Astyanax mexicanus: one gene and its partner. The protein of the gene in region 1 binds, or shares a complex with, the protein of each later gene. Links are inferred from orthologs where the notes say so. Each region holds a gene or a part of one and is shown on either strand. Other genes may lie near its edges.

Region 1 (7,503 bases):
AAATAACTTGCTATCTCAAAATAACGACGTACTTTCTTAAAATAATGAGAAAGTATCTAAAAATAACTCTCAAAATGACGTACTATCTCAAAATAATTACCTACTATCTCAAAATAACGAGACATTATCTCAAAATAACGACTTAATATCCTAAAATAATGACTTACTATATCTCAAAATAATTATTTACTATGCCTTACTTACTATCCCAAAATAATTATTTATTTCAAAATAATGATTTATCTCAAAATAATGACTTACTGTCTCAAAATGACTTACTATATTACTATATACAGGTGCTGGTCAACGAATTAGAATAATTTGAAATAGTGCAATCATGAAATTCTTTGAATGCATTTTTTGTGCAGAAAGCAAATCAGGTGTTCACTGCACCTGTCCTACTCGCTAGACTAATCACAGAACTCGTTACCTGGAAAAAAATTTGCTCAGCTGAGCTTTCCAAAAGGCCCATTTAGGCCATTTAACTGTGACACTGTTGTTTTATTGAATTAGAATAATGGAGAAACCGTTTCATTGAATTAGAATAATTTTTATTATAATTACAATCATCACTTTCTCAGTATTTTGTGGCTGCCCCCTTGGCTTGTATGACTGCCTGAAGTCTCCGCGGCATCGATTTGACCAGCTTGTCGCAAGTTTCCGCACTCACAGCTTCCCAGGCAGTGGCGATGTTCTGCTTCAGTTGGTCCAGCGTAGTAGGCTTTCTGTCGCGAATTTTCCGCTTGACGATGGCCCAAAGGTTTTCAATGACATTGAGGTCAGGCGAGTTGGCCGGCCATGCCAAAACTTCAAGCTGTTTTTTAGTGAACCAATCTTTGGTCGACTTTGCCGCATGAGCCGGTGCAAGATCCTGTTGAAATATGAAGTCTTCTTCGCCGAACTGTTCCTCAACAGTCGGAATCAGGAACGTTTCCAGAACATCTTGATATACGGCAGCATTGACAGTCTTCTTGAGGAAGCAGAGTTTCCCTACACCTCGAGCGGACATGCATCCCCAGACCATAACGCTCTGGGGAAACTTGACGGATCTTTTCACGCACTCGTGGTTGTAGGTTTTGCCACCACGACGCCAGACACGAGGACCTTGGTCACCGAAGGAGATGCAGAAGCGTGATTCGTCACTGAAGACCACTTTCTGCCAGTCTTCAGCAGTCCACTCGCCGTGTTCTTTGGCCCACTTCAGCTGTTTCTCCATTTGTTTCTTGTTCAGCATCGGTTTTACTGCTGGAACGCGAGATTTGAAGCCGAGTTCGCGCAGACGACGGTAAGTGGTTGATCTGGAGACGTCAGCGCCGGTCTGCTTGTTCCACAAGTCGGTGAGCTCGGAAGTGGACTTGAACCGGTTGCTGACTGCGATCTTTCTCAGCTGCTTGTTGTCGAGAGCAGAAGTTTTTCGGACGCCGGAACAGTTGGTGCGCTTGCTGCAGTTTTTCTTGAGAGCTTTGCAGACGGAAGACTGGCTGATGCCGAGCTGCTCAGCAATTTTAGTTTGGGTCAAGCCTTGTTGGCGAAGGGCTTGAATTTGAGCCACTATTCCGGTTGAGAGGTCGCGCTGCTTACCCATGATTGATTTTACAACTTAGAAATTCTACTCAACCCTGACTTTATACTGCACAGTGAACACTCTTCACAGAAAACAAAAATTCGAGCATTTATTCTAATTCAATGAAACGGTTTCTCCATTATTCTAATTCAATAAAACAACAGTGTCACAGTTAAATGGCCTAAATGGGCCTTTTGGAAAGCTCAGCTGAGCAATTTTTTTTCCAGGTAACGAGTTCTGTGATTAGTCTAACGAGTAGGACAGGTGCGGTGAACACCTGATTTGCTTTCTGCACAAAAAATGCATTCAAAGAATTTCATGATTGCACTATTTCAAATTATTCTAATTCGTTGACCAGCACCTGTATACCATATATATATAGTATACCAAAAAATACTTACTCTCAAAATAATAACTAACAATTTAAAAATAATAATATAGAAGTTAGACAGAAAAAAAAATCAAATAATATATATATATATATATATATATATATATATGTATATATATATACATATATATATATATATATATATATATATATACATATATATATATATATATATATATATATATGTATATATATATATACATATATATATACATATATATCCCGCCTTGAAGCGTGTTATATTCCACACCCCCGGAGCGGACCAATCAGAGCGAAGGAAACGGCGCAGCGCCGTGAAGGTTATGCGCATGCGCGGTGGCTAGGTTCTCGCAGCCAAAACAAATAGACCGGTTTCAGTAAAAAAATATATAATATAATATAATAACTTCATATTAACCTCAAAATCAGCAGCATAAACCAGTTATTAATAACTAAACTTATTAACAACAGCTGAATATGCGGTTTATTAACGCTTCACACAACCATACACACTATTAAATATATAAGTTACATTAAAACATATATATTAAATATTAAAATAAAGTTATATAGAACCACAGCGTTACAGAGTCTGTGGACAGCTGTATTTATCTATCTATACTGTAGCTTATATGCTTGTATTATATGTGTGTTTTAAACAATATAAGCCAGTGTTGTTTTTTTAGTCCAGGTGAGCAGCTGGTTTACCTGTATCAGATTCACCTGTATAATAATATTGCATCTGATAATAACCCCTCACGTGCTGCTATATATCTTTATTACAGTATAAAGCTCTAGCTGAGGGTTATATATTAAATATATATCTGCAGGTGGGCATTACATGCTACTGTTTAAGCTGCAGCTCAGATCAGACCCACAGGAACACCTGTACAGGTGAGCAGCGCGCGCTGTGCGGGTGAGCAGGTGAGGTTACCTGGGTGCGGAAGGCTCTCCGCTGCAGGGCTCTGACCGAGTTTAATGCTGAATTTTGGCGAAACGCGTGAAAACCGAGTCCGACCCATTTCTGCAGCCTCCGCACCGCCGCCATGTTTCAGCCTTACTGTCCTCCCGCACCGCGCTCACAGCGCCTCCTGCTGCAGCGGCGGAGACACCGCACTGTATATACACTATGAATATAACTGAGAAATTACTGATTATATATACACACAATTACAAAATCAGCATTTTAATACAACTAATATTTCACTTTCAATATTTCTTCACATCTCTTATAAATTCATTAATTCCCTAAGAAATAACACACTTAAAAAACAACAAAAAAGAATATATATATAGTAAATTATGTAGCTAAATTAAAAAAAGATAAAATTGCTAATTAATAATTAAAATGAGAAAACAATATTGTTTATGATAATAATGTAACTAATGTTTCATTTATTAATAATAATAATAATAATAATAATAATAATAATAATAATAATCATCATCATCATAATCATAATAATAATCATAATCATAATCATAATAATTGTTATTATTATTATTGTTATTATTATTATTATTAATTATTATAATTAAAAAACAACAACAAAATGCAAGAAAAATGTGTAATAGCGGAAGCATGTAAAAAGTTATATGTGACGGTGTATAAATAACTAAACAGTTTCTATTAAAACTTTTATTATTAAACTATTATTATTATTATTATTATTATTATTATTATTTATTTATTTATAATAAAGGTTAAAGCTGCAAATAAAAAAATGACATCAGCATATAATAAAATAAATTAGGAAACATGGGAAAACCAAATACAAGAAAAATGTATAACAGAGGAAGCATGTACATAAGATTGTAAAAAAAACGGTGTCCTTTAATTAAATTAAGAATTATTTTAAATTACTTTATTAATAAAATATAAATAGCATGGTTAAATAATGAATAAATGACCGCCTTCTGTTTTATTTAACTTACATTTATATATTTGTTCCTTGGAAAAATACTATATTAGAGTATTATAGTATTTTTAAGAAAATAATTCAATTACAAAACACTATTGCAAATCAAATCAATCCTCTTTCTTATTTAAACGAAAATTCGTTGTAAATAAAATGCCTAATAAAATACAGAATATTTTAGCTTAACTAGTGTAAACTGATTTACTGTTTTTACCGGTAGATTAAGGACTTTTATCTTATTAAAGCGTCATCAGAGTGCGCGGTAAACAGTGACGCTGTGAGCGGGCGACGGGCCGGCGTGCTGCAGTATCGCGGGGTGCAGGGTTCGGCAGTGATGGATCAGATAGAGACGGGTTCGGGTTCGGTTCTGAGGGAATACGGGAGCGAACAGAACCTGCTGTCCAAACCGGACGGATCAGCGACCTTCCTACAGGGTATTTATCTATATACTGTCTCTGTTCTATTGGGTTCTATGGGGTTCTAAATGGGTTCCTCTGGGTTGTGCACTTGTTTACAAGACTCTATATTGACTATATAGGGCTCCACAGAACTCTACCCTGTTCTGTAGGTATCTACAGAGTTTCTATATGGCTATATAGGGTTATATAGTGCTCCAAAGGACTCTAGTGTTCTATAGGCCTGCACATGACTCTACAGTGTTCTGCACGATTTCTATAGGGCACTGCCGAGCTCTACGAGTTCTATAGGGTCCACATGACAATATATCAATTAGTCATTTAGGCAATCAACCGTTATTTTCACTCAGAAGTACATTAAGGGCAACCCTCATTTTCAATGTAGCATTCACAAATACAGGGATTAACATGATGATAAATTAAATAATAACTACATTTAATAATCTTAAAATAACAGTTAATAAAAGAGAGGGTTTCTGTAGGGCACTACAGAGCTCTATAGGGTTTCTATAGGCCTCCACAGGACTCTACAGTGTTTTGAACGTCTCTACAGAACTTGGGTCTATATGGCACTGCAGAGTTCTATATTGGTTAAATACGGCTCTACAAAGCTCTATATGGTTTTTATAGACAACCACAGAGCTCTACAGGGGTTCCATATGAATCTACAGGGTTTCTATAGGGCACTACAAAGCTCTATTTGGTTTCTATAGGGCACTACAGAACTCTACAGGGCATCCATAGGGATTTAGAAGGTTTCTATTGGACATTACAGAACTCTATAAGGGGCTCTACTCTGCAGGTTTCTGGAGGATTTTTCTGGGTTCTGTATTGATCTTGTGTTTGTGTGTGTGTGTGTGTGTGTGTTTCTGTAATGGTATATGTGTTTACAGGGGACACCAGTGTGTTGGCAGGAGTTTATGGACCTGCTGAAGTGAAAGTGAATAAGGAGATCTATGACAGAGCGACTCTGGAGGTGGTTGTCCAGCCTAAAGTGGGCATGTCAAGTAAGTAGCTCTGTGTTCAGAGATACTAAATAAAAAAATAATTTATTAATTAATAATACACTATATTGCCAAAATGCACAACATAATTGTACTCACAACTAGTTATTTATTTGATGTAAAATGGACCTTCTAAAATGTTCTGTGCATTATATAATATTTAGTCAATGCGCAGAGCCGTCATCATTAAGCATTAAAAAATGGAATAGTTATAATATAATATATAATATAATAAACTTTGCTTGTATATCATCAAAAAAAAACGCAGCTCAAAATGCTTCAATAAAATTAAGTAAAACAGAAAACTGTAAAACGTAAAAAATTTAATAAACAGTTTTTGTCATTTTAGTTCACATTAATATATTGTGCACACTCCTGTTTTGGAATTTTATTGTATAACTAAGTGCAAAACATACCTGATGTCTGAAAAACTGAGCACAATAATGCAGCATGAGTCTACTAGTAGGTTAAAGTAATATTTATTGTTAGAGCCCTATTTAATTAATGTAATTCTCATTACAATACAGTGAACATATTAATTTATTTATAACACTAATCATGCTTTAATATTCCTCTAGATTAAAAGCCTGTTGTTGGTTGCGTTACCCCCTCTCACCACAGGGTGGTAGTCATGTAATAGTGAAAATCTGTGCGTGTGATGAACGTTCACTAATCCGGTTCTGTAACCCGGTTCTGTAGGTGTGCGGGAGCGTGCGAGGGAGCAGTGTGTGAGGGAAACGTGTGAGGCTGTCCTGCTGTCCACTCTTCATCCTCGGTCCTCCCTCGCACTCATCCTCCAGGTGGTGCACGACGACGGCTCTGTATCCTTTATAAATCCACACCTGTTTATAACTAGTAACGAGTCTTTCTCATCTCTGGAGGAATTTAGTTCCACTCTTCTTTACAGAATTACAGTTTTAATTCAGACACATTGGAGGATTTTCCAGCATAAACGTCTAAAACTGTTTAAGATCATCCACAGCATCTCAATCAGACTTTAACTAGACCCTCCTAAACCTTCATTTAGTTTTTATTTATTTTTAATCCATTCAGAGGTGAACTTTTTGTTTGTGTGCTTTGGGTCATTGTCCTGCTGCAGAACCCAAGTACTCCTGAGCTTGAGGTCAGTAAGGAACAGATGGACGGATTCTGATTCTCCTTCAGGATTTTCTGGTAAAAACAGCAGAACTCCTGCTTCCATCTATTACAGCAAGTTAAAGTCCGGCAGCTCCAGACCATCATAACGCACACACTACCACCACCATGTTTTACATTTTACGTTCAGTGAGAGCAATGTTCTTTTATTGCTGAAATTATGTGTTTATTATAGTTTTATGCCAGATGTAACGGGACACACACCTTCCAAAAAGTTCCACTTTTGTCTCTTCAGTCAAAATATAATATTTACCCATAATTTTAAAAAGGAAAAAACAATTTTTCCTAAAGAGCATCATGATGTTAATTGATAAATGTTGTTCTGGGTTCTTTTGGGATCTCATGGATGAGTTGTTCATGCCCTTTTGGAGTAATTTTGTTCGGTCGGCCGGTCACTCCTGGGAAGGTTCACCAGTTTTCCATGTTTTTTCTAGGGGTGTGACGAGATCTCGTCAAGCTTAAACCTGTCTCGCAGGGGGAAAAAAACAGTAGTTTAAAAGCTCCGCGGTACAGTTAAAAAGCTCAGTTAAAAAGCTCAGCTCAGTTTAAAAAAGCTCCGCGGTACAGTTAAAAAGCTCCGCAGTACAGTTAAAAAGCTCAGTTAAAAAGCTCAGCTCAGTTTAAAAAAGCTCCGCGGTACAGTTAAAAAGCTCCGCAGTACAGTTAAAAAGCTCCGCGGTACAGTTTAAAAAGCTCAGTGGTACAGTTTAAAAAGCTCAGTGGTACAGTTTAAAAGCTCCGCGGTACAGGTAAAAAGCTCCGCGGTACAGGTAAAAAGCTCCGCGGTACAGGTAAAAAGCTCCGCGGTACAGGTAAAAAGCTCCGCGGTACAGTTTAAAAGCTCCGCGGTACAGTTTAAAAGCTCCGCGGTACAGTTTAAAAGCTCCGCGGTACAGTTTAAAAGCTCCGCAGTACAGTTAAAAAGCTCCGCGGTACAGGTAAAAAGCTCCGCGGTACAGGTAAAAAGCTCCGCGGTACAGTTTAAAAGCTCCGTGGTACAGTTTAAAAAGCTCCGCGGTACAGTTTAAAAAGCTCCGCGGTACAGTTTAAAAAGCTCCGCGGTACAGTTTAAAAG
Region 2 (6,858 bases), on another chromosome or scaffold:
ATTGATTAATGTGCAAAATGTTGAACCATGGTACCATATAGTTATGCTTTTAACAGTATGTTAAATAGTTCTTTTTAGAGCTGTACGATATATTTCAGCATCAACATTGCATTGTGTGCACATGTGAATCACATTAAAATGATGTAAAATGACATGTATGGCAAATATAGACAAACCTGTTATATAACATGTTATTCTCACTGTTTTCATTTTTCATGACTTATCTACAAGGGGCAGACTATATATTAATAATTCATTTTACTGTAAGGTTGGATACACCGAGTGCACTTTAAATATCATTGACGTTTGATGTAATCTAATGACTCTTTAATATTGCAGTATGTCACAGAAATGTTTTAAAAAGGAAAAACTGAATGCCTAATTTTATTTTTCTCCTGTAATGTGCAGTCCTTGTTGTTTTATATTTGAAAGTAAATGTATAAACTCATTACATGCATCATAGGAGTACTCATTGGTCTAATAATGAATACTATTTGGACTGATTAAGGAAATCCTGTGTCTTAAAGGTATTATTGTTTTTACTCTCTCTTTCTTAAACTTTTGTGTTCTACAGATCAGCCCAAAGGGTGATGTGTGGTCACTTGGCTGTATCCTGTACTGTATGACCTATGGGAAAACCCCTTTCCAAACTATCACCAACCAGATTACCAAGCTACACGCTATTATTGATCCGTCCCATGAGATTGACTTTCCTGACATCCCAGAGAAGGATCTGCTGGATGTGCTGAAGGTCTCTATTGTCTTCATTTCCATGTGACTAATGTGCAATAATTCTGAAATGATTGCAATAACTTAGTTCATTTAAAAAATCTAATCAAAATATCTCTTTCTTGTACATAGCGCTGTCTGATTCGGAATCCTAAAGAGCGGATCTCGATTGCAGAACTTCTTGACCATCCATACTTATGGCTGCAGCCTCAGAAACCTCCTGAGCCAGGTGACTGCTATATATTTTCAGTCTAGTACTAAACACAAACAGATGAAAGAGAAAGATTGCCAGACATGGATAGAACTAGTCAGAAGTAAACATTATTCCTATGGTATGAGTTTTTTGTAATATCTGGTACGCAGATTAAAGAGGAGAATGCTTAGCACTGATATGTTGCACAACCATGCCCTGCAATCACCTTTAAAAAAACAAAACATGTCCCCAAATACCATGACAGTTTCTTTTAATCAACTAGCAGGTTCTGTGAAAAATGTAAGGGTGCTTTCATGTTTGCTCTGATTAGTTGTATTGTCATCCAGGACAAATAATTGAAAGAATAGTGGTATGCAGTGCTAAATAAATAAATTATTGTATTTTTTCTTATCCCTAACAGAAAGCTGCAACAATGATCTAAAGAGGATTCTAAATGAGTTGGCTGCTTTGCAGTCTCCCAACAGCATTGCAAGAGCTGCAAGTGTGAGTGTTCTTCTGCTGAATGTTGTCTGTAATTATTAGAGATTGTGTAAAAATATTCTCATTTTTTATTACTGTAATTTCTTTGCTTGCTTTTGAAATTCATCAAATGTTTTAATACCATACGCTTGTCACTGATTCGAATCTAACCCTATCTTTCTACCTCACATTACAGAATCTGGCAAAGATGTGTAATAGTGGGAAAAAATTGGACGTTTCCGAGTGCGTCAAGAGTTCCAGTCAGTCCACATGGAAGTGAAGAGTAATAAAGAGCACATGCCAGCCAGTGGCTTAAATATCTTTTGATTTCTTGAGATGAGAAATTTTAGTTTTAATATTGGCCAATTGATGTTTTTTGAATGGAGAAGAATGCTTAGTAGAAACATTTCTGTGCTTTTCTTTGATTAAAAAACTTGTGGTCTGTCAAACTTGTGTTGCTATCTTGTGAGAATTATATCAGGTATAGGCTCCATTAATCATATTTGTACCTGTCACTTTCCCTTCATTTTCTATGTCTTTGTTTATACACTGTGTTCTCACAAATAAACGTACCTATACGCTATATTAAGTCCTTTGGTGCCTGTGAAATACCTTTCCCCAGTAGTTATGTGCTATAGTAGTGAACGTGTGTGAAGCTACACACTTTTTTCTTGCAATTAATGAAGAAAATATTTTTTACTATAAAAAAGACAGTTTGCTTACTCCAGATTTGTAGTTCATGGTTTTCTACACTGGCTACTGTTTTTTTTCCCTTTTCTCCCAACAATAAATGCAATATTTATAGGGATAGGCAGATTGATGCTAAAATGTGGAGACCTCCAGTGAAGTCCAGTAAACTGCATGTCTGAACATCTATTATATCTGAATGTGTTTACTATATCTTTGTTTAAATTGTGAGCAGATGGTAGGGTAAGGTGGGCAGAGGGTGTGTAAGGTGGGTTTGGTTGGAAACATCAAACCAATTTAAATATTAGTCAAAGACCACACAGGTAAACACAATGTTATTTTTAAATGAAGGTGTTAATTATTAAGGGAGGAAAAATCCAAATATTTAAATGTGACAAATATGCAAAAAATCAGGAAGGGGCAAACACTTTTTCACACCACTGTACATAAATATCTATAATAAATTAAACATGCTGATTTTTTTATCCCATAGACAGGCAATACAACTGAAGGGTCCAATTCTCCAACTGTTAAAATATGTAAACATAATGTGTTTACATCTTCACTAGGGACAACACTAGACATGTTTCTATATAATATAAAATCATAGGTCTCAGATTTGATAATTGAAGCTTTTTAATGCCATACAGAAAAACGTTAATGGCTTGTTGTATGGAAAATAATCTTCACATGCTACATTCTTTATGGATGTTTCAGTGTTTCAATGAGTTTTATGATTCTATGCTGAACCTGTGGCTTTATTTAAGAATTCCTTTTTTAGCCAATTGAAAGAGTGTACCTATTCTTTCTTTGTGTTGTTTTAGATAATCCTGAACTCTGGACTGAAAACAATCATTATTGTTTTTAACAAGTGTTATAATTTAAAGGGCCTTCATTTTGAATTAACACACCATAATGTCCTGTTATTAAGTAAGTAACACCTACAAGAAGTCTACTATCAGGGCTAGGTGAAACTGATCTGTGATAACAGGTGGATTCCTTTTAATACCACACCACAGCAGTTGACTTGATATGAAGAATTGAGGGGGGCTTTTATTTTGAAATGTGTTCCTCCACACGCTGTAAATTTTAGTGTATGCGCGATCTGGGAAACAGCGCGGCGGCTAGTTTTAGAAGTAGTAGAACTTGTTTAAAACTAATTTTAAAGAACACTTTAAGAGGCTGGCATGGCCGCAGTCAGAAAAGGGTGAAAGCGTACTAGAACTGCTCTCGAGCATCTGTAATCTCTTATCAATGCTTTCTGTGCAATCTAACCAATCAGTCTGAACCGATCGGAGTTAGGCCCGCCCACTGAGCTTGATGGGTGATGTTGACAGATTTAATTATTTCATACTGCTACGGCGCGCACGGAATAATTAAATGTATTATTTGAGTTAAACAATTAATTTGATAAAAATAACAATAAATTTACGAAAAAATAATTACATTAACTTATTTATGCTTCGTTTTCATATTTAAATAAATATATTAATATTTGAATAAATTAAATCTCATTTTAAATATTCATTTACCGTTTTTATTAATTATTTCTTTATTCATTTATTTATATAATATTGTCACAAATGACCCCCATAATATAAATACATTTAAACTGAATTAATTAGCAGTTCTTTTTTATAAAACATAACAATGAATTATACTCCTACCTTTGTATCAACACGCCGGTTCTCTTTAAGAGCCGCCCCCTGGTTTCAGCCAATCAGAGCGGCGGGCGGCTGCTCCTCCGCTGACGTTTCGAGCGGAGTTCCGGTGTAGTGTGTGTGTGTGTGTATGATGGCGGCAGTGCGGCTTCTCCTCCGGACTGTGAGCTCCGCGTCCTCCTGTGCGCACAGCGGCTCAGGGACAGCGCTGCTCAGACTCTCCCCGACCTGCAGCTCCAGACCCAGAGCGCAGAGGCGGCATGCAGCTCATTTCGCCTTCCACCCAGACCCCGTCCCCACTAAATACGGTAGGACACGGGCCCGGGGTGAACACTGCACTCCCAACACACACACACACTGTTCACCACACACACAGCCTGCTGACTGCTGTCCATACACTACACGACTTCGAAAGACACTAAAAGACTTTTAAAAGACAGAAGTGTGACACCCTCTCACATCTAAAGACAAGTCACAGACTTTTTAGTCACTGACTAAGATTTTAGAAAGACTGGGGATCTTACAGGGTCACTAATTGCAAGACTGCAGCTAGTTTCTTTCTGAGATTATTTTCCATTATGCTTCTGGTGGAGTTTATATACAATACATATTACAAGTTACAAATAATGTATAAATCAGCTTTTGTCCCCATAAACAGTTTATTGTCTGTTTACTGCCACACTGTTAGTTCTTAATATTTTTTAATAGAATACACCTTGTGTACAACTCTGCCTATAAGCTTCATTACCCCCATTTTTTGCTACAACCTTGTATAGCAAAGAATCACAGTTTCACTGCTATATATTTGCCTTTGTTTTAGATTATTAATGCAATAAAGAACATTTATTCTTGCTAAATGTGTATTTATTAAACTTGTTTGTATCTAAACATAACACTGCACAGTAGGACAAACTATTGCAAAATAAAATAACTTAAATATAATTACTTTAAAGTTTTACCTGTGTTTAAAATAGTGTACATATTAAAGTAAGAACCATAAAAGGTAAGATGTGTTCTTTTTTAAATCGTTTGTAAACAGTCACGTAAAATATTCTTGCCTTGCCTCTTCCCGTAGCTCTCCTATTGGCTGTTGACATTGTTCACGTCACTGTTTGCGTGAGCCGAGTCTCAAGATTTACGATAATATGAAACACGGCTGAACGCAGTACACAAAAAAGACTTTCAGTCCTAACCACCTCACACTAAACTGTCGAGATGATGTTACTGCAGCTCCACACTAGCAAGACTATCCTGATTTTATACTGACTCTGGAAATTTATCAGAGTCACATACATACTATCTGTATAACTAAATAACTACAGGTTTCTGTAGTGTATGCTGTGGTTAGCTGAAGGTCACAGCAGGTTTACAGGTTATAACTTCATTGGGTACAGAATGTTTCAGCATGACCTGATCTGTGCACGAGTTTGCTTTGAGTAATAATAAGATAGCTTAATTGTCTTTCAGTCTTTAGTTGTATCCTGCTGAAAAGACAACAACAGCAGCATGTCAGGCTGGTAACAGCCCAGGATTTTTGTCAATTGACATTACACCACTAAATCTTGAGTGTTTCTATTCAAGTATTACATAAAAAAGTTTTCATGTTTGATATCATGATTGTATTTGTAATAAAAATATATATATTTAAGTAAATTTGCTAATGTCAAAATATATTGAATAAAATCATAAAGTGGGCTCTTTCCTGAACTTCATTGTAAAATCAATATTTTCCAGAATACAAATCAAACAGTTCCTGTCCTTTCATTATGTTTGTCTAGTTTTTACATCTATTATCAAACATGCAGAATTGGGGTTGATTCCTGTTACTTATCTGAAATTATTAAGTGGAGTAGAAAGTGAACAGGCAACTTCTCAAAGTGTCCTCTCAGAGATTTAAAAGCTCTCAAATTTCCAGGATGCAATTAAGTTATTTTGCTACAGAAAAATATTTTTGTATTGCTTACACCTGTAAGCAATACAAAACACGGTCCTAGGCAGTAGGCACCTTCATAAAATCCAAGCTGGTTGACAAGCATGGCCAGCCAGACTAAAATCAAATGAAGCATACAACATATTCTTCAAGAGCTAGTTAATCAGTTAGCTTACCAAAAAGTTCTCAAAGAGAATGTCCGGCCATCTGTTTGTGACCTCAAGCTGAAACAAACTTGGGTTATGCAGCAGGACAATGATCCAAAACACACAAGCAAGTCCACCTCTAAATGCCTAAAGAAAAACAAATAGAATGCTTTGGAGTGGCCTACTCAAAGTCCTGACCTAAGACTAGGCTACACCAAAGTCTTAGTCTAGAAGAGTGAAGCTAAAATCCATTCCTCGCTCTGTGAAAGAGTCATTGCAAGTTACTTTAAACGCTTGATTGCAGTTGTTGCTGGTAAGGGTGGCCCAACCAGTTATTAGGTTTAGGGGCAAACATTTTTTCACACAGGGCCATGTAGGTTTGATTTTTTTGTTCTGTAATAATAAAAACCCTTGATTAAAAAAATGCATTTTGTGTTTACTTGTTTTGATTTTGACTAACATTTAATGGGTCAAAATCTTTTTCAGACAACTGTATTGTGTGTGTGTGTGTGTGTGTGTGTGTGTGTGGTAGAAATATTTTCAATAAGTATGTTTTATTTTCTGTTTAGCTTGTGTTAGTTAAGTCCTTTCTTGAGTCTTGAGTCTTCCTTATGTTAAATTGTTATTGGATGTGTTAAGGCGCTGTAAATACTTCGTAGACCAGTGGCTGTAGTGTCTGTAAGATGTGTTACTATTATCCTATGTTTATTCAGTTTTCTATGTTACTTCTTTTGGCATGAGCAGTTCAGTACGCCGCTTTATTCCTCTCAGATTTATTCTTAAATACAGGGTACAGATAATATAAATCAATACAGACTCATATGGCTACTAAATAGGTTCAGTTATTTTGTTATGCTTATTCAGTTTTTTAATACATATTTGTTTTCCATTATGGCTGTAACTTTACCGGTGTGTTTATCTCCTCCAGGCCCCACCGTGAAGATGAACTTGTTCCAGTCTATAACCAGTGCCTTGGATAACACACTTGCAAGTGACCCCACAGCAGGTGAGACTGATGATCTCTTTAGTTGT

What was found. The genes of interacting proteins can lie anywhere in the genome.
Region 2: the proteins of bckdha (region 1) and bckdhb are in contact, whole or in part, in a crystal structure (PDB 1V16), measured with the Homo sapiens proteins. The link is inferred for Astyanax mexicanus from reciprocal best matches to the Homo sapiens genes BCKDHA and BCKDHB. Residues at the interface, in NP_000700.1 of Homo sapiens: Phe155, Leu185, Gly186, Lys187, Arg189, Gln190, Gly196, Cys197, Lys198, Phe202, Val203, Thr204, Ser206, Pro208, Thr211, Pro214, Gln215, Val217, Gly218, Ala219, Tyr221, Ala222, Arg225, Gly244, Asp245, Ala248, Asn251, Phe252, Thr255, Leu256; in NP_000047.1 of Homo sapiens: Pro89, Thr90, Val92, Asp117, Arg118, Phe120, Asn121, Thr122, Pro123, Cys125, Gln127, Gly128, Ile129, Gly131, Phe132, Ile134, Gly135, Ile136, Val138, Thr139, Asp158, Gln159, Asn162, Glu163, Ala165, Tyr167, Arg168, Tyr169, Arg170, Ser171.

What each region holds. Positions count from the first base shown.
Region 1 is NC_064416.1:2,328,115-2,335,617, reverse strand, and holds the start of bckdha (2-oxoisovalerate dehydrogenase subunit alpha, mitochondrial), read right to left. Parts: upstream 3,025-7,503; 5' UTR 2,983-3,024; coding exon 2,869-2,982; intron 1-2,868. Other genes in the region: exosc5 (exosome complex component RRP46), read left to right, coding at 4,188-4,287, 5,163-5,276, 5,973-6,094. UniProt on the Homo sapiens protein: Together with BCKDHB forms the heterotetrameric E1 subunit of the mitochondrial branched-chain alpha-ketoacid dehydrogenase (BCKD) complex.
Region 2 is NC_064413.1:27,230,323-27,237,180, reverse strand, and holds the start of bckdhb (2-oxoisovalerate dehydrogenase subunit beta, mitochondrial), read left to right. Parts: upstream 1-3,856; 5' UTR 3,857-3,880; coding exon 3,881-4,058; intron 4,059-6,754; coding exon 6,755-6,832; intron 6,833-6,858. Other genes in the region: dual specificity protein kinase Ttk, read left to right, coding at 575-751, 862-958, 1,344-1,426, 1,599-1,682. UniProt on the Homo sapiens protein: Together with BCKDHA forms the heterotetrameric E1 subunit of the mitochondrial branched-chain alpha-ketoacid dehydrogenase (BCKD) complex.